Linked DNA regions of Diceros bicornis minor. The protein of the gene in region 1 purifies or fractionates together with the protein of each later gene. This does not show direct contact. Links are inferred from orthologs where the notes say so. Each region holds a gene or a part of one and is shown on either strand. Other genes may lie near its edges.

The links.
Region 2: the proteins of COPG1 (region 1) and COPA purify together in Homo sapiens (affinity purification with mass spectrometry; 6 studies listed by BioGRID and IntAct, counting the BioPlex papers as one, with this or other methods). This does not show direct contact. The link is inferred for Diceros bicornis minor from reciprocal best matches to the Homo sapiens genes COPG1 and COPA.
Region 3: the proteins of COPG1 (region 1) and ARCN1 purify together in Homo sapiens (affinity purification with mass spectrometry; 6 studies listed by BioGRID and IntAct, counting the BioPlex papers as one, with this or other methods). This does not show direct contact. The link is inferred for Diceros bicornis minor from reciprocal best matches to the Homo sapiens genes COPG1 and ARCN1.
Region 4: the proteins of COPG1 (region 1) and COPE fractionate together in Homo sapiens (co-fractionation; 6 studies listed by BioGRID and IntAct, counting the BioPlex papers as one, with this or other methods). This does not show direct contact. The link is inferred for Diceros bicornis minor from reciprocal best matches to the Homo sapiens genes COPG1 and COPE.

What each region holds. Positions count from the first base shown.
Region 1 is NC_080741.1:89,473,944-89,481,522, reverse strand, and holds the start of COPG1 (coatomer subunit gamma-1), read right to left. Parts: upstream 3,001-7,579; 5' UTR 2,916-3,000; coding exon 2,879-2,915; intron 1,926-2,878; coding exon 1,873-1,925; intron 1,399-1,872; coding exon 1,318-1,398; intron 1,068-1,317; coding exon 996-1,067; intron 812-995; coding exon 732-811; intron 1-731. UniProt on the Homo sapiens protein: The coatomer is a cytosolic protein complex that binds to dilysine motifs and reversibly associates with Golgi non-clathrin-coated vesicles, which further mediate biosynthetic protein transport from the ER, via the Golgi up to the trans Golgi network.
Region 2 is NC_080743.1:65,001,498-65,008,743, reverse strand, and holds the start of COPA (coatomer subunit alpha), read left to right. Parts: upstream 1-4,238; 5' UTR 4,239-4,339; coding exon 4,340-4,379; intron 4,380-7,246. Other genes in the region: NCSTN (nicastrin), read right to left, coding at 2,697-2,801, 4,030-4,114. UniProt on the Homo sapiens protein: The coatomer is a cytosolic protein complex that binds to dilysine motifs and reversibly associates with Golgi non-clathrin-coated vesicles, which further mediate biosynthetic protein transport from the ER, via the Golgi up to the trans Golgi network.
Region 3 is NC_080746.1:18,320,116-18,327,075, reverse strand, and holds the start of ARCN1 (coatomer subunit delta), read left to right. Parts: upstream 1-3,946; 5' UTR 3,947-4,076; coding exon 4,077-4,079; intron 4,080-6,960. UniProt on the Homo sapiens protein: Component of the coatomer, a cytosolic protein complex that binds to dilysine motifs and reversibly associates with Golgi non-clathrin-coated vesicles, which further mediate biosynthetic protein transport from the ER, via the Golgi up to the trans Golgi network.
Region 4 is NC_080759.1:6,465,259-6,472,411, reverse strand, and holds the start of COPE (coatomer subunit epsilon), read left to right. Parts: upstream 1-4,138; 5' UTR 4,139-4,189; coding exon 4,190-4,315; intron 4,316-7,153. Other genes in the region: probable ATP-dependent RNA helicase DDX49, read right to left, coding at 454-594, 716-903, 1,226-1,347, 1,435-1,520, 2,738-2,861, 3,706-3,820. UniProt on the Homo sapiens protein: The coatomer is a cytosolic protein complex that binds to dilysine motifs and reversibly associates with Golgi non-clathrin-coated vesicles, which further mediate biosynthetic protein transport from the ER, via the Golgi up to the trans Golgi network.

The DNA.
Region 1 (7,579 bases):
GGAGGCCTTTCCTGATCCGAATTCAAGTTGGGGAGCCCCGTGGTCTGCTCTCACAGCCCATCATACTTCCCACAATAAACCGTAATCTACTCAATCTTAAGGGCCCACTGCCTGCTTATTTCTCTGTAAATTCTGGGGCTGCAGAGGCCATGTCTGTCTTGTTTGCTGCTCTATTCCCAGAGCTACCCACAGGGACTGGTAAACACTCAATAACTATTTTGTAAATAGACCTACAAGTGAATATATAACATCCCCCCACAAAACATGTTGCAGGAAGAAATAAGAGAATTAAGCCCCAGTTCTTAAGGGGAGGGACTATACCTCAGTCACATCTGTCCCCTGAATCACTCAGCCTAATGCAGAAACCAGTACTGGGTAAGCAAGCCTAATTGTATACTCTTGCATTCTCTATGTCTGTTTTTCTTGTGTTCTCTCTGAACACTCACTAAAGTCTTTGTGAAAGTTCCACGCTGGCTCAGTTGACTAAGAGGAATCAAGTAAATGAAGGGTTTGCTCCCAAGTTAAGACCAGAGAATGAAAAGGGAAACAGCACACACTCTGGAGGCTGCTATGGGATGGACAGCAGTAACTGAAGGATGAGGGAGACAGAAGAGGAAAGGGTGCCTGGCAATATGTCAAACAAAAGTCTCATGACCTGGTACACATGGCAAAAAATGGCCTCTGTATCAATGGAACCCATCAGAGGAGCCATCCACAGACCCAAGACTCACCTGCTGGTGACAATGATGACATCCTCTGCGATGCAAGACATCTCCTTGATGGTTAAGTAGCACATCCGACGGAGGGTGGGCTGGAAAAGAGATGGGAAAAGCCCTATGACCCCTGGCTCAGCATGAGGGCCAGGGAAAGGAAAAGAAAACTCCAATCGACACAAAGGCAGTCCACACTGACAGATGGAGTCACCTTCCCCTGGCCCTCCCACCACCCTGTCACAGCTGTCCCCTCTTGAGGAAATCTGGGGGTGGGGCACTTACATCGTTGGACTGAAAGAGCTTGGTCATGGCAAAGAAGGCCTCCGTTGCTTCAGTGGTCCCCAGGTGCTCCCCCTATTTTAATCAAGAAAGAAGTCTCAGCCTGGGACAAAGGGGCCAGAAGGCCCTTCCTGCCAAATCAGCCCAGGATGGATCCTCAGACCGTGCAGAGGTTCCATTAAAGGCAACATATCAGAGTTGGACGCTGAGGGGACCCAGAGCTGGGCCATTGGTTATAACCACACGGTGGCTGTCAAACAGCCCTTAGGCAACTCCCAACATCCCCCAATACCGTTTTCCCCAACCTCAAGTCTCACCCTGTTACCTGGTTTATGAGGTAAAGGATCTTGGTGAGGATATGGGCACATTTCCGAGGGTTGATGGGAGTTTCGTTAAATACACGGGCCTGAGAAGAAGTGACCAAGGATATTAACCTCCAGCCCAACTTATTTCCCTTCCATTGACTCCCCTCAAGCACATTCAATGTCTGAGAAGACCTGGAATACATAAATACACTTGCCTAGACAAGCTTATTCTCATAAGGAAAGAGTTTTGGTTTTTTCCTCTTAATTCATCTATTAACAACTCCTGAAATCTTCCCTAAATATTAATTAGGAATGCGCTGACTTATTGACTAACAGATACTAGTAAACACTTGTTAACTAGAAAGAGAAATGAAGAACAACAACAACAAAAGTGTCAGCATAACGAACTCTCTTCAGGAACAAAGTTTTTCTGTCTTTCCAGGAACAGGTTTCTCTCCTATTGTTTTTTAAACCAGCAGTTTGAATGTATTAGTATTTCGATCGCATCAATCATGAACATTTATGCAATCATGAACATTTATGATGGAAGATACAGGGGAGCAAACGACACTTGCCTCCTGGAGTACTGCACTCTTCTCAAGGTGCTGGAATGGGTTGGAGCCTCCACCTACAGTCAGAGAACAGAGAAGACCAAATTCAGGTTATGACCCTGAATTCTAGCAAGATGTCCCTATCGTCTACCTAGTCAAGTTGCAACTCCTCTGGCATGGCAATCAAAGCTTTACAATCTGCCTATAGATACAACAGCTCTCCTGCAAGGGGGCTCCACTCTACCCCAAACCACTTACTCACAGTCACCTAGCGGCCCTGGGACCATCCTTCTGTTCCTCTCATAGTGTCCTGCTTTGCATTCATTTATGCAATTGGTACCTAACTGAGTCCCTACTGTGTGCAGGGACCACCATCTCCCCAGTAACTAGGGTTCCTTCACAGCACGTGTCACATTTGTAATTAATTACATGTGTGATTATCTGATCCATCTCTGCCTTCTCCACTATGCCTGCTATCATTCTAAAATTCCCAGCTCAAGCACTGAGTGTCTCACTTGTTCTACTGCAGTATCAGGACACAATACCGTGCGTGGCATGCAGTAAGCACTCAACATACGTTTGCTGAGTAAAAGAATGAAAGAGTCAGGGTTCTCAGCCACTGGACACCGGCTCCGCAGACTGCGCCCCAGTTTGGACAACACCAACGCAGCCCCGGCGAATCCCAAGAGTTCGGATGGAGAAAACAACAAAGGAGCATCTGGCTCGGTCCCCTCCCCTGACAGATGGGGAAACTGAGGCCCAGAGAGGCGCGTGACGCGCCCATGGTCACCCAGAGAATCGCAGCCCAAGCTTGCGAGTGGAAGGGCCGTGGAGCATGCTCGGGCTCTCCGAGGCCTGCCACTGACCAGCGGTGGACCTTCGCACATGCCCCTGCCGAGGGGGCCCCCTCATTGGGCCTCGGCCTCGGATAGGACAGAGGCCCCAACGGAGGGCTCCCAGGGAGGATGCTGAGAGCCTGCGCGGGGGTCCGGCCTCCCCTAGGCCTAAGCACAGGCATGGGACTCCTCACCTGATTCCTCGTCCTTCTTGTCGAATTTCTTCAGCATGGTGGTGCCGGCGAGGGCGCAACACAGTAACTCTGTCCTGGGACGTAGCAGCGACCAACAGAGACACTGCGGCGGTTCCGCACAGGCCACTTCCGGCTGGCCACGTAGCCCTGCGCTCTGCGCACGCGCACTCTGAGCTCTGCGCACGCGCATATTCCGGACGCGCAGCCCCGTCCGACGTTAACCCTGTCCCGGCCGGGGAGGCTGGGGAGCCGGGGCCGAGGGCTGGGGGGGGCGGCAGGCAGGTGGAGGCCTCAGACTGGGCACCCTAACTCTGCGCCTTGAGCCCCCCTTATCGTACAGTGGGAGTAGTAGTCGTCCCTGCCTCACTGCGTTGTGGCGGGAGTTTAAACTGGCTTTCGGAGGTGAGGCCCCGCAGCACACCGGCCCGGAGCAGACACCCAGTTAATGATACCTGTGGTTGTTATTATTGTCACATTCTCGGGAGCTCTCGCTAGCCACTCCTCACTTTCAGTCCCCTTCTCCTGCCTGATTTTTTTTCCTAGCTCGAATCACCACCTAACACTGTATTCTTACTTTATTGCTTTTATTGTCTTTTATTCTCTGCCGTGGATGACGTTGGCATGTAGCAGGTGCTCAGTAAATTCTTGAGCGAATTAATGCATGAACTTGCTCTTATAATTCATATCTGCCCACTCCCTATCACATCTGCTCTTGGTGCAAATTGTTTTGTATTTTGTTGACTTTCAGGAATCCAACTAAAATAAAAGATCAGCATAGAGACTTCAATGTTGCTTTTTTGGGTATTTATCGAGCACCTTACTAGATCCGCCGCTTAGCGCTGGGGACAGGAAGGGACTGGAAGGGGAAAACGAAACGTCACGCAGGGTGTATCTTCCTGGGGACCTACGCAGAACACCTCGAGGCCAAGGTAAGGACGGTGCGTGCAGACGTGCCAAATTGCATTTGCTACGGCAAAGCCGAGTCAGGATGACCCAGCGCTGCGACGCGTGGCACCAGCTTTCCTGGGGAGAGGGCAGCCTGAAGCCCAGCGACGAGGAGAAGGAGCCCTGGTGAGCCAGAGGTGGAGAGGCGCGGCAGGAGGCGGGGGCAGAGGCTGGCGGGTGAAGCAGAAGGGGGTGACAGCAAAGTGGGAGGAGGGGTGATGGCAGAGGGGCCACCCTTTGGGGTCAGACTTTGCGGAGGCTGAGTCTGGTGGCTGGGGAAAAGCAGGGGATGGGGAGAGGAGATCTTGTGCCAACGTGAAATTGTCAAGAGCCGGAAAGATGTTCAAAATCTTTAACCAGAAACCCCACCCCTTATCCGGGGAAATCATCCAAAAGAAGAAAATAAAGGTGCCCACTGCAGCAGTTTGCAGCAAGATAATTGAAAACACTCTAAATGCCCAGCAATAAGGGGATGATTAAGGGAATTATGGTATGTCTATTGGATGAAATATTCCACACCCTTTATAAAGGGATAAATGAATTTCTGACCACTTGGGAGGCAATATGCAAACTTCTTATAATAAATGAGACATTAAACAAGAAAAGCAGAGTGTAAAAGTATTCATAATTAAGGTGAAATAAAGATGCCTCGTGGTTAAAAACCAGAAAAGAACCCCAGAGATTTGGATTGTTGTGTTAAGATGATGAAATACAGATGAGTTGTGTTAGGTTAAAATATCCTGTTATGATATTAATTCTATAAAACTAGATACCAAGGACAATTTTGACAATACCTTTCTGAGAATGAGAATTGTGTGTTGTGACTCCAGCTCTAAGTATGTATAATTGTAGGGTTTTTATTATTTTTTAAATGTAATATACATTCTTCGTGATAGTCACTAAGTCCTTTGTAGATAATCACTAAGTCCTTTGTAGAAACAGAGAACACTGAAAGTACAGGAGAAACCAGGGACATTTTAAGACGATTGGGAGGTTGTACCAATATCCATATCCTGGTTATGATAGTATTTAATAATTTTACTAGTATTTAAAAATTGAGAAATAATCCACATACCATAAAATTCACCCTTTTAAAGTATACAATTCAGTGGTTCCTAGTATATTCAAAAAGCTGTGTACCCGTCATCACTAATTCCAGGACATTTTCATCATGCCCAAAAGAAACCTGTATGCATTAGCGGTCTTTTTCCATTCCTCACTCTCCTTCCTGATACCCCCAAAACTGTGAATCTACTTTCTGTCTCTATGGATTTGCCTATTCTGAATATTTCATATAAATGAAATCATACAATATGTGGCCTATTGTGTGTCTGGCTTCTTTCACTTAGCATAATGTTTTCAAGGTCTGTCCATGTCGTAGCATGAATCAGTACTTCATTCCTTTTTATTGCTGAATAATATTCCATTTTATGGATGTACCGTATTTTGTTTATCCATATATCAGTTGATGGACATTTGGGTTTCCACTTTTTGGCTGTGAATAATGCTGTTTCAAACATTTGTGTACAAGTTTTTGTGTGACGTATGTTTTCTCTTGAGTATATACCTAGGAGTAAAAATGCTGGGTCATATGATAACTATATTTAACTTTTTGAGAAACTGCATCAGCACCACTTTATATTCCCACCAGCAATAAGGGTTCCAATTTCTCTACATCCTTGCTCACACTTGTTATTGTCTTTTTGGTTATAGCCATCCTAGTGGGTATGATGTAGTACCTCATTGTAGTTTTAATTTGCATTTCCCTGATGGTTAAAGATGTTGAACATCTTTTCAGGTGCTTACTGGCCATTTGTATATCTTCTTTGAAGAAATGTCTATTCACATCCTTTGCCCGTTTCAAAATTGGGTTACTTATCTTTTCTTTTTTGTGTGTGTGAGGAAGACCAGCCCTGAGATAATATCCAACGCCAACCCTCCTCTTTTTTGCTGAGGAAGACTGGCCCTGGGCTAACATCCATGCCCATCTTCCTTTACTTTATGTGGGACGCCGCCACAGCATGGCTTGACAAGCAGTCATCTGTGCACGTCCGGGATCCGAACCTGCAAACCCAGGGCCACGGAAGCGGAGCACACGCACTTAACCGCTGTGCCACAGGGCCAGCTCCGGGTTACTTATCTTTTTACCTTAGAGTTGTAAGAGTTCTTTATATATTCTGGATGCTAGACCCTTATCAGATATAGGATTTGCAAATATTTTCTCCCATTCTATGGGTTGTCTTTTCACTTTCTTTATAGTGCGCTTTGAAGCACAGAAGTGTTTTATTTATTTATTTATTTAATTTATTTGTGTGTGTGTGTGTGTGTGTGTGTGTGTGTGTGTGTGAGGAAGATCAGCCCTGAGCTAACATCCATGGCAATCCTCCTCTTTTTTGCTGAGGAAGACTGGCCCTGGGCTAACATCTGTGACTATCTTCCTCCACTTCATATGGGACGCCGCCACAGCATGGCCTGACAAGCAGTGCATCAGTGCGCACCCGGGATCCAAACCCAGGCCGCCAGCAACAGAGCGCACACACTTAACCACTATGCCACAGGGCTGGCCCCCAGAAGTTTTTTATTTTGATGAGGTCCGATTTATTTATTTTTCTTTGTTGCTTGTGCTTTTGGTGTCATATATAAGAAATCATTGCTTCAGAGCCACCCCGGGGCGTAGTGGTTAAGTTTGCATGCTCTGCTTTGGCAGCCCGGGGTTCACAGGTTTGGATCCCAGGCATGGACCAATGCACTGCTTGTCAAGCCGTGCTGTGGCGGCATCCCGTATAAAGTAGAGGAAGATGGGCACGGATGTTAGCCCAGGGCCAGTCTTCCTCAGCAAAAAAAAAAGAGGAGAATTGGCATCAGGTATTAGCTCAGGGCTGATCTTCCTCACACACACACACACACAAATCATTGCTTAAACCAAGGTCATGAAGATTTATCTCTATGTTTTTTTCTAAGAGTTTTATAGTTTTACCTCTTACATTTAGGTCTTTGGTCAGTTTTGAGTTAGTTTTTGTATATGGTGTGAGATAGGGGTCCAACTTCATTCTTTTGCTTCTTGATGTCCAGTTGTCCTAGCACCATTTGTTGAAAAGACTATTCTTTCCCTTATTGAATTGTGTCATCACCTTTGTCAAAAATCAATTGACCATAAGGTATAGGTTTGTTTCTGGACTCTTGCTTCTATTCCGTTGATCTGTATACTATAGTTCTGCAAGACGTTACCATTGGGGGAAACTGGGTAAAGTACACAGCATCTCTCTGTATTATTTCTTACAACTGCTCATGAATCTACAATTATCTCAATAAAATTTTAATTTAAAAAAAGCAGAGATTATTTCTATGGTACCTTCTCACCACCCTCACCACAACCACCCCCACCCCAACGCCCCCAGCTAAAAGAACTATTGTGTTCTAAGAATTTTTCCAGCCTTCATCTGAGGCACCCACTCTTGCCCTCCAGGTGGCACCAACTCTCTCTTTTTACCTCTAGTTTTTCAGAAGCCAGAGCAGGAAGAGGCTCTGCCAGGGCATCTTGCCAAGAGCAGGGCGCCTTGCCCGGTTCTGGCGGTCCACCAGGATGACTCAGGGCAGTTTCAGAGTCCTGGGCCGGCCCTGAGGGTCCTCGCAATATAAGAGAGACTCAGGGCTACCTTTGCTTTAGGGGCAGCTTCTGGCCTTGTAAAATGAGTTCTCCAGTCAAAGAAGAAGTCCTCTATTTCTTCTCTGCTCACATCCACGTTTGAAAGCATT
Region 2 (7,246 bases), on another chromosome or scaffold:
TGTTGATATTGATTCTCATCATTTCTGGGGACTTAGGTTTCCAAAGACCCTAAGCTGGTCACCCCCAGCCAAGAGCCGACTCATCTATTACCCCAGGACGCCCTACAAATATCATCCATTTCTATATGTGCCAAGATGCCATACAAATAACATTTTCTATGTCTCATGACATGACAAAGATTGGGAAGCACTGCACTAGAGGATGGATGATCTCCAGTCCAGAATGACTTGAGTTCTATGTAGCAATACCCCTCAAGTCCCCAGTGATCCATATAGAGACATTCTAGGGTCTCCCCATGAGTCTTATCCCCACTCAAAATTGGATGTGTTATTCATAAACTGTTTTAGAGCAGTAGTTCTCAACCCTGGCTGTGTATCAGAATATCACTCTGGAGTTTTAAAAAATACAGATACTTGGGCCTTACCTCAGATTTATTAAATTAAAATCTCTTAAGGTGAGGCCCAGGTAAGTGTTATTTTCAAAACAGGCTACATGTGGTTCTTTATTATACACAGCCAGGCATGAGAATTATGGCTCTAAAACCAAGGTACTGAAAACTTATAACCTGCATGAGACAAAAAGCGTAAGTACTTTTAGACTGCCAGCCAAGTAGAATTTTTCTCCCACGGGATCTGGTAAAATCTAGACATGGAAGCAGATCCTAAACATTGAACTATGTCTTATATATAGTAAATACTTAATAAGTTTATGTTGATAGTGATGATAATAAAATATAGAGAAATATCAGAATCTGGAATAACTTTAGTAAAGATCTAGCTACCAATGGCAGTCCCAAGTAAAACAAAAGACAACAGTTATTGCCACAGCATTTAAAACACAGGAAAAGGAAAAACTAGTCTGGCAAATAAAAAATATATAACTTCAGCTTCCAGGAGGACAGGAAGACAAGCTATGACACTGGACTGAAAAAATCTGGATTCTAATCTGGATTCCAGTTGGTAACTGTGTAGTCTTAAGTAACTTGCTTACTTTCTCTAGGGCTTCAATGAGGAGAAGCTTTTCCACCCCTATTCATCTCAGACTGTGCGGACAGATTAAAAAAGGAAAGAAAGAAAGGAAAAGAAAAGAAAAGAAACCCACATATAGCCCCCTTTGGGCACTTTAAAGGGGTCTAATAGAAACAGAGCATTATAATCAGAAAATCAAACCTGGGTCTTTTTCTCCTTAATTTTATCATGTTAGAAACCCTAAGTAAAGAGGGTATAGCTTGCTCAGGATGGACAAATACGATGAAGTAAGACTTAGAAATAAGTAGGTTGAAAAGGAAACAAGATCTTAATGAGGAAGTGGCCAGAGTCCAGCCCCTCCCCTCTTGTTTCTCTGTACTGGCACTTGGCTTTATCTCTAGAGGCTATTGCTTTGCTTCCCACAGGGCTGCTGCTCTAAGAACATGCAGCAGAATGACTCATTCTCAAAGAGGATATCTTAGAGCCCAGCTCCAGGAGGATAGGGTCGTAGCCTTTTGCACGAGAGTGGGATTCCAGCAAGACCAATAGTCTGATCTCAGCCCACACTGGACATGGCTCCCTTCTCCTCACAAACCCAGTTTAAGAACTAAATCCAACAAAAAATTTTATTTGGAACCAGTTAGCCTACTCTCAGTACTTCCTGTAACAGGGACGCGGGGCAATTAACATAGAGTATAGCTCATGGAAGGAAGCGTAGAAAAGTAGTAACTGCCACCTTGAGCGAGTCCTTCACTTCCCAGTGCCTCAGTTTTTTCCCACGAAATTGGAAGGTTTCACGCAATCATACAGTACTGCTGAGACCACACTACTTACTCAGCATCATCAATCAACATCTATTAAAGGCAGTTCAACTTTCAGCTTTGTGCAGGTATATTCTAACCATTTTTATAGGAGTAAACTGAAATTCAGAGGTGACCTATTTGAGGCTGAAGCAGCCAAGAGCTGAGTCTAAGTTTCCTGCTTACCTGCAAACTACATTCTGACAGAGCAACTAGCCACAGAAGAACAAAATCTGAAGAGAGCGGGTTAAGCAGCAGAGGAACCAGGATTCAGCCTTCAGATCACAACTTTTTCCCCTTTTATAGTTTTATAACCATGTTGTCATGGTACTCTGTTTTGGAACACCTTTACAAAGCATAAAGACAAATCTAAATGTTTCACTAATTCCTCTTGCAACAATTTGGCTTTCTCAATGCCTTCCCTTCAAATAGTTTACTGCCTTAAAGAAGCCCATCTTGGTTCCAAAAAGATCATTCAGAGTACGGATGATGACTGGACTCCACAGAATACGAGACTTCTTTCTGCTTAGGAAACAGTATAGTTTGCTACTTAACCTACTGGCTGGTTAAAACTTGGACCACCAGGGCTCACATCCTGGCTTCATTACTTATTGTCAGGATGATCTCGGAAGTTCCTCAACTTCTCCAAGTCTCAGTTTCATCATTTGTAAGATGAAGATAATAATAGAACCTACTTCATGGGGTTGTTGTGAGTTAAATAACATGCACGTGTAAGACACTTAATATGCAGCATTCACTAAATGTTAGCTCTTATTATCTTGCCTGGTTTGACAAATGGTTCTCTATTACCTCCAACCCACATAGCCTAATTTGTGTGTGCAGACTCCCAAGCAGGACTTGGATCTTTATATCTGGGGCCGACTGAAACATCAACAGTCACAAACACAAATCCCAACCTCAACTCACACTGGCAGCCAATCTGATGAGTGGCGTTGAGCAGACGAACACAGGGAGCTGTTTTATTTAAGGGGATGTAGATCTTCCTCTCCACTGAGTTTCCCCCACACAAACCTGATCAGAAGATAAAACGTGTTAGAAGAAAACAAGAGACATTGGTACCAGCCTCTATCATGTCATTAGCTCGCTGGACTGCTTGGGTATATCATACTTTCTAAAATGGGACTAATGTCCATTCTTCTTACTTCTTGGGCACATTATTGGAAAGATAAATGCACTCAGCTGTTTGCCTCAGAGGGTTACTACAAATTCCACATAGAGCAATTGACAATGAAGCTAAAAGACAGAAAATTTGGTTTGTCAAAGGAAAGGCAATTTAACCACAGATGTACTAGCTTTTGGTTGCACGGGTGACCACACTTCTGCTTTTCTATCCTGTATGTATATTACTAATTAGTTAATAAAAGAGTGCCAGTCTACGAACATAGATTAAAATAAAAAAATCTTTCTGAGACGTTTTTCCAGGAGTCTGAAGAGAACTGGGAGAAACCTTACACCACACACCTGTCAGTTACTCTAACATCAGTAGGTCATCCATGTGTGCCCACAGTGTGGGGCAGCTATAGTTTCTCCTTTGGAGATCTTTAAAAACAATGTAAGTTTGGGGGAAGGTAGGTCAGGGTTATAAACAGGCATGTTTATATTTTAGGGCTTGACCAACTAGAAAGCCATATATCAGAAAATAAATGTGTGTAAGCAAACACTTATGCACATTGTAAATGCCTAAAGTTCCCTGAATCATTCTTTCATGGTCTAAACAGTTAAGAGTACCCATATCCTATCTTTGTCTCACTTGCCTGACGAGACAAACTGAGGCAAAGCACAGAGACGCGGGTTTACAGTGGAATCAACAAACGAAGAAACGAAAATCTACTTTCCTAAGAGTCACACTGCGCACACACACAACCAGGCTGCTTTCAGAAAGTCTAAACGCGCTGAGAAGTGAAGCTGAACTCTGATAATGTCCGTTTTGATTGTAGGTGGGCTGACTGGGGCCACGGGGACAATGAGGCATCTGGATAAAGGGGGAGAGAGTCGGGCTGGAAGTCCAGGAAGAGGCCTGGAGGAGGAAATGGGGCGACATGACGTGCCGCAGGGGAAAAAGGACCTTCAGGTCCAGGCAAAGGGGGAACTTCTGTCGTGGGAACGAAAGAGAAGACGGATTTAGAGGGTGGGGGGACAGAGGGGCAGCGGAAACCAGAAGAAAGACAGCGGCGCTTGCGGTTGGGCCGATCCGGAGGGTTCTCCTTACACTGGAGCTCATGGGCGGGGAAGGCCTCACCTGCCAGTAGGACGCAGAAAGACAGAAGGCGAAGAAAACCTCGACTTCGCGGGTCAGCCACAGAGCCACCCCCCGCCGTGGCCATCTTGCCTCTCGGCTGAGCGGAAGCCTCGGTTCCCCTCTGGTCCAGCAGCGGCCTCTCTAGGCCAACACTGGCGCCGTCTCTGTGGCCCGGAGTTCCTCGGACCGGAAGTTGGTATCCGTGGAGCTTCCGGGAGCCGCTGCTGAGGGGCGCTGACGTGGAGGCAACCGAAGGGCGGCAGGGAGCGGTGGGGCTCTGATTAGCACCTTGGAGCCCGAGGCCTGAAGGATGCTAACCAAATTCGAGACCAAGAGCGCGCGAGTCAAAGGTAGTGAGAAGAAAAGGGGGAGTATGGAGGCTCGGTGTCAGGGGCGGCGCTCTCACGGGGGAAGAGAGAGAGGGTTGACGTGCCGGCCGAATTGGGCCCACCGTACGAACCCCGAGGAAAGTGGGAGGGAGGGAAAGTGGGAGGGAGGGAGGGAGGCTAGGCCTGGCAGGCGGTTCTCCAGTCCTCTCTTCTTTGTTGTGTCCTTGGGATTTGATTTATCTGTAGTGGTTCCCGCGTGGCAGGAGGGCCCTTAGCCCGCTTCCTATTCTTTCCCCTTCCCTCCTCTCCTAGGGCCTGTGCTCCCGTCATTTATTCTTCTGCTCTCAAGGCCCTGTGTGTTGGCTTTTTGACGACCGTGTTGTAAGGAGTGGCCCTGGGGATTGAGGATCGACCTCTACAATTCGCGTCTAAGTCAGCTTTTTCGGAGGCGAGCACTGGCTACTTCTCTTAAGGAGCCCTTGGCTGCACCATATCAACATCTAGTGCCACCACTGGGCTTTATTTCCTACCTGGAAACAGGACATTGAGGCCTGTAACCCCAGTAAAATCTGAGCTTGATAAGGTTGCCAGGTAAAATACAGGAAGTCTAGTTACATTTGAATTTCAGGTAATCAACAAGTAATTTTTTTAGTATTGCTCGTTGTTTATCTGAAATTCAAATTTAACTGGGAATCTTTATTTTTATTTCCTAAATATGGCAACTCTAGAGCTTGAGTATCAATGGATGGGGGTGGAGGGCAAATAACTGAAATCACTGTAGTAGTCTCCTAGAATGGTAGGGTGGGAAAGGCGGGGAAGTAAGGTCTCCTGAGACTTAAAAAAAGAAAACAACAACAAAAAAATATATATATATCTTGAACATTTAATGAGATGTAGCATAGCAAAGTGGTTAGAAACTTGGTGTTTGGAGTCAGATAGGCTTGCTTTGGAATCCTGAAACATCTACTAACAAGCTGTGTGACCTTGGACAAATTGCTTAACATTTCTAAATCTCTATTTTCTCATCTGTAAAATGTGAATAATTAACATTCTCTTATAGAGAGAATTAAAACGAGAAGGTATATGAAAAGTGCTTATTACAGTGCCTGGCGTAGACTCAGTAGCTCAAAAACTGGAGGTCATTATTAATGTGAGAAGAGATTCTGAGCAGTTTTTAAATGTCATGAGAATCTTGATCATGAAGAGTATCCTTAAGAATTCCTGGATGGTTGAAATGGGTCTTCATAATCCTTGAGTTTTCTCTTCTGCTCCTAACTTCTTGTTGGGTAGTAGAGAAAGAAAGTGGGAAAAAAAAGATGTCAGAATATTTGAGAGTTAATATCCATTAATGAGTATTTCTATATATCATAAAGGAAAAAAAACAACCTAATGGAACAGTAGACAATTTAGAAGAATGTAAATATTCAATGAAAGTAAATGAAAATGTTCTCCACTTTACTAGTAGTGAAAGAAATGCAAAAAAAAAAAGTGAGAATACCTTTTTTTCGGTCTTAAGTTAGTAAAACAAACAAAACAACAGATAAGTGATAACCTCTCACATTGGCCAAGGTGTGCAATATGGGTACCTTCAGAAACTTGGTGAGACTGTAATTGATAGTCTTTTTGCAGTCAGATAGTATCTACCGAAATGTTAAATGCACATATGCTATTCCTGAGCAATCCCACTTCCAGGTCTTTAGCCTAAAGCAATAATAATGCAAATAGGCTAGAATATGTGTGGAAGTGTCTTCATTAGGCCCAGTATTCTGATAGACAAAAGTTAGGGAAAAAAACGTAAAAGCCCATCAGTAGAATAATTTAAAAATATGATTCATTTGTACCTTGCAGTTTTTAAAAAGAATGAGGTTATGTTTATATGTACTTAAGTGTAATGAGATCCATGATATATAGTTAAGTGAGAAAAGAAGTTTGCAGAACATTATAATATTATCTCCATTTTAGTAAAGTGATATGGTCTGCATTAAAAATCTGAAAGGATACACTCCAAAATGTTAGCAGTAGTGACTTCTGTGGACTTCCGTTTCCAATCATAACGGAGTAACAGAGACCAGATTTATCTCACCACCTTAAACAACTGCACAACTGAACCGAATGTGGGAAATGAAGGTTTTCAGATGTTGGATGACAGGCAGTGAAGGAGAGTGATTCTTGAGAGAAGGGAATTAAACAAGATGAGTCCTATGATTGTTTTAGCTTACTACCTGGAGAGAGTTTCCAGGCTGCAATATAGGGAGGTGGGAAGAGCCCAGTGGTCTCACTGAGGAGACAGAATTTAAAGTTCAGGGAAGACAAGACAGCTAGAGTTTGCTGGGCAAAATACCAGAGAAGAGGGAGCTGCACAGAGAACCCTGGAGTTCTGCAGGGGATCCTGTCAGGGCTTTGTCTGAGGACTAATCTGCACATGCTTGTGAGGAAAAGTCCCAAAGCCTGGGAAAGAACCACTGGAGAGGAGAAGGTAGAACAATCTCTGGCGCTCACATAGAGCTGGGAATAGCTTGTGTTCCTAGCAGCCAGAATGGAAAGACCTCCTAATACTACAGGGCATCACATGGAGACCTCAGATGGGTGTTGCCTTAATAGTGGTGCCAAATTAGACCTAGTCTAAAGGCTGCTGGGGCCCCACCCTAACAAAACTTAAAAGGAAACCTCAGAAGGATCAGCTGATTCCAGGTAACTTAACTGCATCTTAAAACAAAGCCCAACAATATTTAAAGGAATATAACAAAAATCCAGCACCTAATAACAAAATTCATAATGTCTGGCATCCAAAGAATGAATGTATGAACCTAGGATTAACCTAGCTTTTTCTTTTTCATGTCAGAATTGACAGGAGGTGAAATTATGGGGCTTACTTAGCTTATTGGATC
Region 3 (6,960 bases), on another chromosome or scaffold:
AAAAAAATAAATAAACAAATAAAATTATTAAAAAAAAATGCTGGTTTTAAAAAATGCTCTTGGGTGGATGAATGAAGGAATGAGTGAATGAAGATGTAAGGAACAAATGTCCCAAAACTATAGACACAGTTAATTTTGGGAGTCAGAGAGAGAGAAACAAAGAAAGGAATATTGGAAATTTGACCCTGAAAACCTGTCAGGGGAAAGCGGGAAAGTGGTTTTAAAAAGAAAACAAGAGACACCACTTCTGAGACACTCTGGTTAAAAATGGAACTGCAAAACATTTAAAAAATTTTTTGTCATCTGTTATTGCTAATAATAATGGATATGTATTGTTAGTGCCATGGAATTGATTCAGGCTCCTAGCAACCCTGTGTACAGCAGAGCGGAACTCTGCCATGTCTTTTTGCACCATCCTCTCACCTTCCAGAGCTATATCAGACAATGCTCAGGGCTGCTATTCATAGGTGTGTGTGTGTGTGTGTGTGTGTGTGTGAGGAAGATTAGCCCTTAGCTAACATCTGTTGCCAATCCTCCTCTTTTTGCTGAGGAAGATTGGCCCTGAGCTGACATCTGTGCCCATTTTCCTCTACTTTATATGTGGAATGCCTGCCACAGCATGGCTTAATAAGCGGTGCAGTCTGTGCCGGGGATCCGAACCTGCAAACCCTGGGCCGCCGAAGCAGAGCGCATGAACTTAACGACTATGCCACTGGGCCAGTCGCTATTCATAGGATTTTCATTGCCAATTTTTTCAGAAGTGGGTAGCTAGGTCCTTCTTCTTAGTCTGTCTGTCTGGAAACTCTGCTGAAATCTGTCCACCATGGGTGACCCCACTGGTATTTGAAATACCGGTGGCATAGCTTTCAGCATCACAGCAACATTCAGCCACTATAGTATGACAACAGACAGACAGATGGTGTGGTTCCCAGTCAGGGAACATGGGCTGTGGCAGTGAGAGTGCCAAATCTTAACCACCACACCCTGTAGGAGCACTTAGATTATACAATTTTATTTATTAATATATTGTTTAACTTCACAACCTTATGAGATAGATGTTACTGCCAATTTACAGATTAGGTAACTGAGGCTGAGGAGAGTTAAAGCAACTTGCCTAAAGTCACTCAGCTAGTAAGTGCTGAAAATGGGAGTCAAACACAAGGCAGTCTAACTCCCAAGTCTCTGCTTTTAAAACCACTATGACTACTGCCTTTAAGGTGCTCCTCATGAAGCATGCTTGCAGGGTGCTTTTCTTCCACAGTTTAATTCAGCTACTATCATATTTCCAAAGAATCAGCATCAACTGGTCTTTCCTGAGCCTCGGTAGTCCATATTGAAGGCCCCTGGAAGCTGCCTCAATAAAGCAATAATTCCAGGCAGGATTTTTACTTTTTTTAAATTAAGAATTTGTTCATCTTTTTAAAAATACATGTGCTTCTTATAACAAAAATAAACAATACAGTTTGACATATATCCTTCCAGACATGCAAAGTTTAAAAATACATGAGCTTTGTAAAGATTCTACTAGAAAGTCATTGGAGATGGAATTGAAATGAGTAACAGTGAGAATTCTATAATGCCGTGCTTAAGGGTACAGGTTCTGAAGTTGAGCAGCCTTTGTTCGAATCCTGGCTTTGCTACTTTCTAGCTCTGAGACCTGTGGTAGAATAGCTTTCTTCTCTGTACCTTGGTTTCTCCACCTGTAAAATAGAGATATTAATGGTACCAATCTCAGAGAATTCTTGTGAGGATTAAATGAGATGATCTGTGTGAAGAATTTAGAGTAATGCCTGCTACCTTGTAAGTGGTCAATAAACATTAAGGAATACACAGGAGATATAGAGAGGCAGTGTGTCATAATGAGAAAAGCTGGGTTTGAACCCTGGCTCTACTACTTACTGGCTGTGTGAGTTTGGGCAAGTGCTTAACTTCTTTGATCCTCTGCCCTTATCTAGATTGTTATAAAGGAATAGGGATAACATATATAAAGTACCTGACATAAAATAAACACTCAATAAAAGATTGCTGCTTATCCATTATTGCAGCAATGGATGTGCTGCAGAGTCGAGCCAGTGATATAGGGAAGAACTGCTGAATCACATATTCTCTAAGTCTGACATTTGGCGTGGGAGAACTACCAACAGAATCAGAAGACTGGATTGGAGTCTTGTTTCCATTATATACTGGCCTACAACCTTGGGTAAATTGCTTAAACTTGTCATCATTTTCTTCATCTACAAAATGGACATAAGCACAGTAACTGCCCTGCTTCCCACACACATTTTTTAAAGATATAATTTACAAACTATAAAAATTCATCCTTTTAGGGGCCAGCCCAGTGGCCAAGTGGTTGGGTGTGCGCGCTCTGCTGCAGCGGCCCGTGGTTCACCGGCTTGGATCCTGGGCGCACACCGAGTACCACTTGTCAGGCCATGCTGTGGTGGCGTCCCATATCAAAGTGGAGGAAGATGGGCACGGATGTTAGCCCAGAGCCAGTCTTCCTCAGCAAAAAGAGGAGGATTGGCAGATGTTAGCTCAGGGCGGATCTTCCTCACACACACACAAAAAATCATCCTTTTAAAGTGTACAATTCAGTGGTTTTTAGTATATTCACAAAATTGTGCAACCACCACCCCTATCTAATTCTAGAACATTTTCATCACTCCAAAAAATAAACCTCACTCGCCATTCCTCTTCTCCTCCAGCCCCTTGCAGCCCTACTTTCTGTCTCTATATATTTGCCTATTATAGACATTTCACATAAATGGAATCATATAAGATGTGGTCTTTTGTGACTGGCTTCTTTCACTTAACATAACATTTTCAAGGTTCATACATGTTGTATAATGTATCAGCACTTTATTCCTTTTTATGATCGAGTAATAGTCCATTGTATAAATATACCACATTTTTTTATCCATTCATCTATTGATGGACATTTTGGATTGTTTCTACTTTTTGGCTATTATGAATAAAGTTTTATGAACATTAGTGTAGGATTTTTTGTGAGGTCTTATGTTTTTAATTCTCTTGGTATATATCAAGGACTGGAATTGCTGGATCATATAGTAACTATATGTTTAACTTGTTTTTTTTTGCTGGGAAAGGATCACCCTAAGCTAACATCTGTCGCCAATCTTCCTCTCTTTTTTTTTTTTCTCCCCAAAGACCCAAGTACATAGTTGTACGTTCTAGTTGTAAGTCTTTCTAGTTCTTCTACCTTAGCGGCTGTCACAGCATGGCAACCGACAGACAACTGGTGTGATTCTGCATCCAGGAACCCAACCCTATGCAAAGGGAAATTGCACAGAACTTTAACCACTAGGCAATCAGGGCTGTCTCTGTTTAACTTTTTGAGGCACTGCTAAACTGTTTCTGAAAGTGGTTGCACTATTTTACATTCACACCAGCGGTGTATGAGGATTCAAATTTCTCCATATTCTCATTGACATTTATTATTATTATAGCCATCCTAGTGGGTGTGAAGTAGTATCTCATCGTGGTTTTGACTTGCATTTCCCTAAGGACTAAGGATGTTGAGCATCTTTTTATGTGCTTATTGGTCATTTGTCTATCTTCTTTGGAGAAATGTCTGTTTTGTCCACTTGTAAATTGGACTATTTGTCTTTTCATTGTTGAGTAGTAAGAGTTCCTTATATATTCTGGATACTAGTCCCTTATGCACACAGGTTATTTTGTATGTTAAATGATATAGTGGCTGTGAGATCTTTATAAACTGTAAGAGGTACCACAAACTAAATGAAAGCTCTGACGAACGGTGAAAAGACAGAAGTATGAAGTTCCACGGCTTGGGGGGCGAAGCCCCTTGCATCCTTGGCGAACCAGCCGGTACCCACAATTTCCCCACCCCACGGCGCCCCGCCCTCCGCCCTTTGACCCGCGCCGTTTCCGGTTGGAGACGTGGCTCCAGGCCGCCATCTTGGCAAGAGGCGAAGCGGCAGCGGCCCCTGTCAGGGGGGTAGCAGGTCTGGAGCGGCTGGTACTGCCCTTCCCCTGACCCTAGCGCTATCCGCAGTGGAGCCGGAGCGCAGGTGCGCACCACCACCGCCCTCACCATGGTAAGTTCCGAGCCGGGTCCAACTCCCGGGGTCTGGCCTTGCTCGCTCGCTCTCCCTGCCGGACGGCTTGGTGCTGGGGCCACAGGAGCCCCGCCCCGAGGGCCTGCAGCCGGGCGCTTCCCTCAGGGCTGGGGGAGCGGCGTGGCCTTGCCCACCCTGTGCCGGGCCTCCCGGGAGATCCGATGGACCCGGCTCCAGTCCCTGTGTCGTCGCGCGCACACCCCCCTCCCGCCCCCGCCCAAACAGCTGGGACCCTCCGGGCCCTGGAACGGGCTTGGGGTTTTTGCGCTGCGAGAACCTCGTAGTGGTGTCGCTTGGACCCCATGCTGCGGCCTTCGGCGCTAATGTCCCGCCCGTTCCATGGGCGCCTGGGCTTAGCAGGCTGGGCCTCTCTCGGGGATTAGCTTCCTTCTGTAATCAGCTCTCCTCCCATCCCCGGTGTTCCGTAGGACATTGATACTCGAACTCCAAATCCATTGGTGTTCAGGACTTTTTCTTTTGTTTGTGAAAGGGGGAAATAGATGAAAGGAGGCATAAAACAGGAAGGAGTACCTTCTAACACTAATCTGTAGGACCCAACTGTCCCTGAAACCTTGCACTGCTTCTCCAGAATTTAGGTGTGTCCTTTTGTCAGTGGATTAAGTATACCCTGTGTATAGAGCACTGGGCAAATGTGAGCGAGTTAGAGAAAACACAGGCTGTCCTCAAGGAACTTACTGTTCCGGTAAAGTAAAATGTGTATGTGGCGTATCGTGATCAGATGTCTCACAGGAGCAGTAGAAACGGGTTATACTCTGGGACCTCTTACTTGGCTTCAAATGCGTTATCTTTGTGTTCTCATCTATTGTAGGGAAAAATTAACGTGGGTGAGGATGGGACAAAACAGTGCTGACTCCACTAAATCTTATTTTATCACTACAATTAGTGGATATTTATGAAGTAGGAGAAAATCTTTGGCTCCAAACGAGCTAGTAATTTATTTTTTAGTGAACTTTATGCCCTTCAGTGTTTTGAAGGATGTTCTTTTCTTTTTTTATTCTCTTTTTGTCAATAGATTAATAATTTGATTTAAAGCATTTTCCTGCACACTTGAGAGATGACAATATAATTTGGTGCCAGTAATGTTAAGTTCTATTGACAACGTTTTTTAGATGAGAACTTAGATGGTGGGGGGGATTCATGCTTGGGCTTAAAACCACTGAAAGGTTTTTTTCAGCTTCAGGCATATAAATTTTGTCAAGCAGGATTACCTCATAAAACTTTTACGTTGGACATAAAATTTCCAAAAACTCCTTTTTTCATTTTCACTAGGAGGCTTAGTATTTGGATAGTGATTTTTAAACTCCTTTTTGGATGTTTTTTACATCTTGGATGTATCTGTAGTGCATTTTAGAGCATGTTATAATTTTAATAGCGAAATTAAAGCCTTATATAAACCAAATATAGATAATCTTTACAAAAACTTTGTATGTTGAAAAGTTCTTGGAACTTAGTATTTTTAATTCATCGATAACTGCGGAATGGTAAAGCCCTAGGTGTTGACTGATAAACATAAAATATAAATTTTGTGTGTTACTCGGACACGTGCATATACATACAGTTGTGTCATATTTAGATATGCATATCTTTTTGAATTATTTAGGACTTGGCATGATCCAGATATCACAGATTTGTGTACTCTAGAGAACAGCTTATCTCAGTACATTCTGCTCTGTTGAATCTTAAGACGTTATTAAGTGTTATTGCTGTGTAATGTTTTTGGGCCCTATTCCTTTAGGAAGAGATCCCTGGACAGTAGAAACGTCCAAATAGGGTGACATTTGGTAAGATTTCTTGCATCTAAAAGTTGTATCAAAACTCCTGAAAGTTGATTTTTCCTTCACATTTTAGTATAAAATTTTCAAACATCTAGAAAAGTTGAAAGAATTTTACAGTGAACACCAATATAACCACCAGCTAGATTCTGTAATTAACATTTCACTATACTTGTTTTTCTCACACATCTAATCATCCATCCATTCTTCTATCCATCCTTTTTTTTAATGCATTTCAGAGTTAAGTTTCAGCTATCAGTACATAAATATTGATTTTTGAAAAATTTCCTTTACCTTTAGTTACTGAAATTCGTGCAAAATGTCCTACCTTGTGAAGTCCTAGTAGAGAAATAAATGAACAAATGCAAAAAGAAATGGCTTATGATGACTTTGTTATAAAATGAAGTACAAAAAAAGGCATCTTTTTTCTAGTTTTCTGCAAATTAATGAGAACATATTCTTATTTTCCTAATTTGTCAGATATCGTTAGAATCAGTTCTTTTTCTTAGTAAACTTACATTCGAATAAACTTGATATTTAGTCTCATGGTAGCACCAATCTGTAAAATCTTTGCTTATCTACAGAGTGCTGTTCTTATTTACTACTATAGGCAATGAGTAAACTTACTGTAGTGGTCAGATTAAATATAAATGATCCCAGTAAGTTCAGTTTCCAAAAGTCATTAGTTATTAGAAAGCTAGATTTGGGTTTGTATGGCAGATCTACACATGACGGGAGAAACTGAAATTCTACACAGTCATAACAGTTCCCAATTAGGGGATTATTATTGCTTGTTTTTTCCCTTTTTCATGTACAATACAGCAGCTGCACAGCTATTGTATTTTTTATTTATCTTTTTGATTGTTGTTTGAAAGGACAGCAAAGAATGAAAATGATTTTTTTGAGTTTTCCTTGATGGCCGTCTATTTATTCTCTGAGTAGGAAGTACACTGCAGAAAGTGAGAACTATGTCCATTTATTTTTATTCACTACAAGCTTGTGTTTTAGAACAGAAACTTGTGATAAGCTTAAAACTCTCACTGAGTAACTTTTCAAGTTTTAGGTTT
Region 4 (7,153 bases), on another chromosome or scaffold:
CAACGTGGACTGCCCCTCTATCCTAGCTCATACTGGAATAGCCTACATCTTCTTGACATCTCCCCAAAAGCTTCAGAGGAGGAGCCGACTTGAACTGGCTCTAGGGACCCCTGGGATTGCAGAGACAACAGCCTGGGTGCTGGTGCGCTGGGCCTCAGTGACACCCTAGAGCATAGCAAATCTGCTGCAGGGGTTCCTGGGGACAGCCCGAGGCCCCTGGCCCTTCTAGTTAAGGGCAGGTCTGAAAAACCCCAAATCCTGGCTCCAGCTTCAGGAGAAGTGACCATGGCGAATCCCTTGGTCTCTCTGAGCATCCTTGAGAGAGTTCTCTGAAATCTCTGGTCTGAGCAGAGGCCCCACAGCACCGAGTCTGGCCGTGTGCCTCACATCTGCACCTTGGCCCCTCTTGGGCCTCCGTGAAGGGCTCGGGGGGGGGGGCCCGCTCAAGCTCACTTGCACGTGTTGGTGAAAATGATGATGGACCAGTCCTCGTGCTCGTCCTGGAAGTTCTGGATCAGGTGGACCAGGTAGGCATCCTTGATCTTCTCAGGCACCAGCAGGTAGCGCTGATCCAGCTGCTCCACCGTGCGTACCCTGGGGACAGGTGCGCCATGTGTCCCCTTCTGCTGAATGGGGCCAATGCCCCGCCCTGCCCACGGGTAATAGCCTCCATTGGGGATGCCCCCCCACCCCCTGCCTGCGCTGCTGCTCTTACAGGGCCTGAGCCTCCCAGAAGAAGGGCTGGTTGGTGGCCAGGCCCTGCAGCTCCCGGAGCGTGTCGGTCAGTGTGGCACTGAAGAGCAGGGTCTGCCTGCGGGCCGGCACGGCCGCCAGGATGGTCTCCAGGTCCACAGTAAAGTCAGTGCAGCCCTGCTCCAACAGCCGGTCCGCCTCATCCAGCACCTGCGGTGCCGGTGGCGGGGGGTGGGGGTGGATCTGGGGTGAGGGTGCTGTCTGGGGCCTGACCCGCCTCCCCCATGTGCCTCCTTCCCTGCCTTGGATGTGAGCCCTGGAGAACTGTCCCTCTAGGTCTCGGAGGCCTGCTCCCTCACCCATCTTGGCTTCTACGTCAGCTCCTCCGAGAGACCCTGCCCCAACCATCTTCCTAGTACAGGTCCCCTCGTTGGTCCCTGAGTGTCCTTGTCACTGTTCCCAAAGCTCTACTGCATGGCCTGTGGGACGCATGTTTCCCAAATAGATGAATCAGCGCCCCAGGCCAACTCACCAGGAAGCGGATCTTCTTTATGCTGAAGGTGCTGGAGCTGCGGAGGTGGTCTGCCAGGCGCCCCGGAGTGGCAATGACCACGTGTGGTTTCCGGGAGAGCTCCAGGGCCTGAGCCACCATGTCTGTGGGTGAAGGGCGAGAGGTGGGGCTGGGCAGGTGGTCCAAGGCTGCAGAGGGCCACACTCAGAGCCTCCCCGAGCCCTCCGTACCCATGCCGCCTACGATGATGCAGTCTTTCAGGCCCAGAGGCTTCCCCAGGACCCGGAACTGCTCTGCGATCTGGTAGGCCAGCTCCCTGTGGGCATGAAGAGGCCGGGTTGGGTCAGATAGGGGTTCTGTGCCTTCTCCCATTCCTGTCTCCACCCGCCGGCGTCTCCTGACTCACCCTCTCCCGTTCACACACCCTTCAGGGCTCCCAGTCCCCTGTGGTCAAAGGCTCTGATGCTGAGCGTTGGAGGCCCGCTGTGGCCCCTGCACCCTCCCCAGGCTGGGCCCCAGATCAGCCCAGGGCCCTGCCCCCCCCCCCAGTCCCATCCAAACTGGCCTTTCCTCCTCCCACGTCCTCAGCAATGGTCTCAACACCAGTCACCAAAGCCTGAGACCCGAGCATCAGTCCCCCCTCCCCGGGGCTGGTCAGTGTCCAAGTCCCCTCCTCTGTGCCTCAGGCCCAGCTCTGCCCAGGCCTCTCCTCGGCCCCTGTCCCCACTTCCTGGCCTCCTGTCTTGCCCTTTCCTGCTCACACACCTTCTGAATCAATTCTAACCTGACATTCAAGGCCCTTCTCAAGCTGGCTCTAACACACCTGGCCCACAGGACCCTTTCTGTTCCCTGCCTCTCAGACCTCTGCATGAATGCACTAGCAGATCTCTCCGCCTAGAATGCTTTCCCCAAACTTGTCCTCTTGAGAGACCTTTTCCATCCATTAAGGCACCCCTTGAATGAAGCCTTCCTCGACGCCCCCTTCCCTGGCCACGCCCTCAACAGCATGCAGCGCCTGCCTCTTCTGTGGCCATCACAGGACTTGTCATTTCAACTGCCACACGTGTCTGCCCAAGAACTGGAGATGTGTTTACAGTCAGGCATCACTTGACAGGAACCCGTTCTGAGAAATGCGTTGTTAGGCAATTTTATGGTTGTGCGAACATCACAGAGTGCACTTACACAAACCTGGGTGCAGCCTCCTACATACCCGGGCTCTATGGCGCTGATCTTATGGGACCACTGCCATATATGCGGTCTGTTGTCGACCGAAACATCGTTACGTGGCAAGTGACTGTATTTCTTGGGCTGTAAGACTACTGATGGCTCCTTTCCGGCAGTGCCTGCCCTGAGGCAAGCCCTGTGCCCAGCACTTTTGGCACACCGTCTTGTTTAATTCTGCAGCACTCCTATGAGGTGGCCTCGATTTCTGTCCCCATTTTGCACATGGGGAAAGTGTTGCTCAGCAAGGTAAAGGCGCCTGCCTGAGAGCACAGCTGGTTAACTTACCCAGGAGACCTGTAGGGGGCTCACCTGGTGGGTGTCAGGACGAGGCAGAAGATGCCATAGGGATCCTCAGACAGCTTCTGCAGGATGGGCAGGACAAACGCTGCTGTCTTGCCGCTGCCTGTCTTGGCACAGCCCAGGCAGTCCCGACCTGGGCAGAGGGCAAAGCAGCATCAACACACTTTAGGTGTAGACGGGTGTTCCATTTGGCACAGTTGACAACAGCTGACATTTAATGAGCAGTTACTGTGTGCCCAGTACTGCCTATGCCATTTCCCCTCCGAACATACTGACAACGTTCCATTGCTGGTAACTGACAAATTCTAGGAGGGAAAGGCCGTTATCATCCCCATTTAACAGAAGGCAAAAATGAGTCTCAGAGATTTGTCCAGGACACACGGCTGGCTGATGCCAGACTAGACTGGAACCCTCATCCATCTGACCCAATATGCCTGCTACTGACCACTACCTCATTTTGACTCCCTTCCAGAGCACCTGAGCTTGGGGAACCTGGAATGCCCTCCCCAATCTGCATCCTATGCTCCCTGTTAATTCTTCCATCTTTATTTAATCCCTCAAATTGTCTCATCCTAGGCTTCTTGAGGGCCCCTCAGTAATGGCAAATTAGGTCGGGCCAGAAGAGTGGGGAGAAGAGCAGTCACGGGACCAGCGTCCTGGATTTACCAGTAATGTTGACAGCCTCAGTTTCCATTTGTAAAATGAAGATAAGTAGTGCAAACTCTACCAAATCTTCCCAGTACTATCGATTAATCATTTATGAAACCCTCCCTGTTCTGAAGCTATAAAAGTTTCAGAGATTATATCACTTGTGCGAGGACACACAGCCTAACACCAACACTGCCCAGTCTGCCTCCGGAACCTACACTCGCCCGTAACGCCCAAGCCTGCCCCACGCCTCACAGGACCGGCGTGGGCAAAGAATGAGAGGCAACAGGAGTGGAGATGCCTCTGGGAAGAGGCCGGGCCACACTCACCCTCCAGGATGGCGGGGATGCAGCCGAGTTGTACGGGCGTGGGCTGCTTCAAACCCAGCTGCCGACATTGTTCCACCAGCCACGACGACAGGCCGAGCTCCGCGAAGCCGGCCATCCTCGCCGCCAGCCCCGTGTGAGCAGCCGTGTGTAGAGGCGCTTCCGGCGCGTGCTGATGACGTCACGAAACCTCTCCCGTTAATTGGATCCGCCTCCTGCATGGTCCCGCCCTCTCCAGCTCACTCTGCCATCGACCGCATCCTTACCATATTTCCCCGAATCCCATTGGCTCGCAGGATCGAATCAAACTACAATTCCCGAGATGCCCTGCGAGACGCACTCGCGTCCCCCGTACCCCCGTTTAGGCGTCTCCCATTGGCTCATCTCCAGGCCGGAACGAGTGAACTACATTTCCCGGCCCCGCGGTGGCCCCCTGCTTCCGGCCGACGTGTCCCTCAGGAAGAAGAGCGGTTGCGACGATAGCGATATGGCGCCTCCCGCCCCCGGCCCGGCCTCCGGCAGCTCAGGGGAGGTGGACGAGTTGTTCGACGTGAAGAATGCTTTCTACATTGGGAGCTACCAGCAGTGCATCAATGAGGCGCAGCGGGTGAAGGTGCGGCCGCTCCGGGCCCGGGACGCTGGGGGCGGGGACGGAGGAAGCTGCCTGGTGGCCGCGAGTCGCGGTCTGACTTTAAGAACGCTTCCTCTTCTCGCGGCGGTTTCCCCTCACGCATCTCTTGAGAGCGCGGTGAGGAGTTATCTTGTCCCATAGCAAATCTCAGAGCAGTAACAGTTCATAGTGCTTCTCACTCAGAGCGCTCGCTCTGCGTCCTGGAAGCATTGGAGTAAGAGAGGCATTTGTATCATGTAGTAATAATGTTCTCCTTTGTTGAGCGGCCCACACTGTTCCGCCAGACCCTCAATTCCCGTGAAGTAGGGACTGCTGTTTATCCTCATTTTACAGAGAACACTGAGGCTCAAGAGAGAAATGGCTTCCCCGGTGTTATCCTGCCCCACTAGCCCGGTCATTTGTCCCCAGACGTGCTTGTTCAGTTATTCATTCGTTCGTTCCTCATTGAGCATCTCTGTGGGCCAAGTAGTGTATTCGTGCTGGGCTCAGAGCAGTGACAAAACAGACAAAACTCCTAGCATTTTCAGAAACCTCAGCCTCTCAAGGGAGACAGACAGTAAAGGAGTAAATAAACAAGAAGTCAAGAGGTGGCGTGATGGAGAGTGGTGGGAATGAGCTTGGCTGTTTGAGAGCTAGAAAATAGCCCTGCAAGGCAGGGCCCAGCCAGCCAGTGACAGGAGAGGGGGCACCAGGGGCCATTAGCAGCAACTTTTGGGGAGGGACATGATGTTACTGACACTGCGAGAGTGAACCATTGGAGAACTTTTAAGAGCAGTGAAATTGGCAGTCTTGCCTGCCTTCACAGTCTAGTGTTCCAAAGAGAGTAAGCAAGTAAAGAAGCTAGTGAATACGTAGTTACAACTTGAGCACTCTGGGGATGGGGGTAGATAAAAAGTGCTGAGAATGGAGAAGGAGGGTGCTGCTTCATGTGGGAGTGGTCAGATCAGGCCAGGCCTCTCTGATTGTCATTTGAACCTGAGGCTGAATCTTGAGAGGCGTCTGACCCCATAAACTGCTGCAAAAGTGCTGAGGCAGGGATGAGCTTGGCGTAGCCCAGGCATAAGGGGTCAGTGTAGCAGAAGTGGGGCAAGCGATGGGGAGGATGAGAATGAGGTGGGCAGGGCCTTGGGGTCACGGCAGGGCTTTAGATTTTATTCTAAAGGCACAGGAAGCCACTGGAGCACCTAGTGAGAGAGTGGCAGGTGTCTTCACAGAGGCAGCCAGAGAGTTGGGAGGAATTTAGACTCTGAAGTAGAGAAGGCTTGTTTTCCATGCTTTTCGCCTTTTGCAGTGTACCTGATTTCCCTGCACGTCATCTGTATAATGGGGATAAAGCCTCAAACAGATTTCAGAAAGCGGTTTGGATTTCTTGAAATAACGTTTGCATGATTGCATGAGTTTTCTGTTGCCGCCGGGACAAATTATCTCAAACAATAGCTTAAGATGACACAAACTTATCTCAAAGTTTCTATACGTCAGAAGTCCAACACGGCTCACCAGGCTAAAATCAAATTGTCAGGTGGGCTGTGTCTTTTCTGGAGATTCCAGGGAAGAATCTGCTTCCAAACTCATTCAGGTTGCTGGCTCTCTGCCTGGGACCACCTAAGTTACCTCCTAGAAGCTTCTCTCCAATTCTCAACCTCCATGTAGCCCCTCCATCTCAGAACTAGCCGTGGGGTTCTCACAGTTGGAATCTCTCGAATTTCCCCTTCTGCATTCCTTCTGTCTGTTAGCTGCTATCAGCTTCTGTGATTGGGCTGTGCCCTCCCAGATAACCCAGCATAGTTTCCCCCTCTTAGGGTCCATAACCTTAATCACAGCTCTGAAGTCCCTTTTGTGACGTGATGTAAGCTATTCACAGATTCCAAGGACTGGTGTGGACATCTCTGGGCAGCAGGGGTGGGGGGTGCCTTATTTGGCTCACCACCACAATTTTATGTGTCTCTTGGCTGGGGTAGTGTGGGCTGCGAGAAGATTGAGACAGACCTGGGCTCAGATTTCGGCTCTGCTACCAGGGCTGAGTCATTGCACCTCTTTGAGCTTCTGTTTTCCTCTCCTGTCAAATGGGAAAAATGATGCCTATCTCATTAGGGTCACTGTGAGATTCAGTGTTACACTCACATTCCACCTTTTGACTTCTACCGTATGTCTGTTCTGCTTACTTCATAGCGATGTGTTCTTTTGAGTCATTATATGCAGACTATACACTGCTGCTGAAAGGGAGAACCAGCATGACCTGCTGCACATAGAGAGTGTCTGAAAATGAAGATATGGAAACCATGTCAGTGGTCACTTTGGCTGGAGGCACACTGCTCAGCCTCTGAGCTGGGGACCTGCGCCCTCTTTGGCGATGTGATCAAGAGGTGCTGCCACCAAGCCAAGGTGTTCTCCCTGAAGCATCCAGAAGAATGGAGCACTCTCCCCCCTGAGCCATTTGATGTGATTTAATTCTGATCCATAGGCCACCTGAACCGTCCTGGGCAGGCTGTACTGGGTTGAGTGGTGTCCCTGAAAAGATATGTCTACCCAGAACCTGTGAATGTAGCTTACTTGGAAAAAGGGTCTTTACAGATGTAATTCAGTAGGATCTCTAGATGAAGTCATCCAGGATTTAGGATGGGCCTTAAATCCAATGAGAAGTGTCCTTCTAAGAGAAAGGCAAAGAGAGGTTTGAGACACAGACAGAGAAGACAGAGGCAGAGATTGGGGTGATGAGCCACAAGCCCAGGAACACCTGGAGTCCCAGAAGCTGGGTGAGGCAAAGAAGGATCCTCCTAGAGAGCCTTTGTGGGGAGCCACGGCCCTATTGACACCTTAATT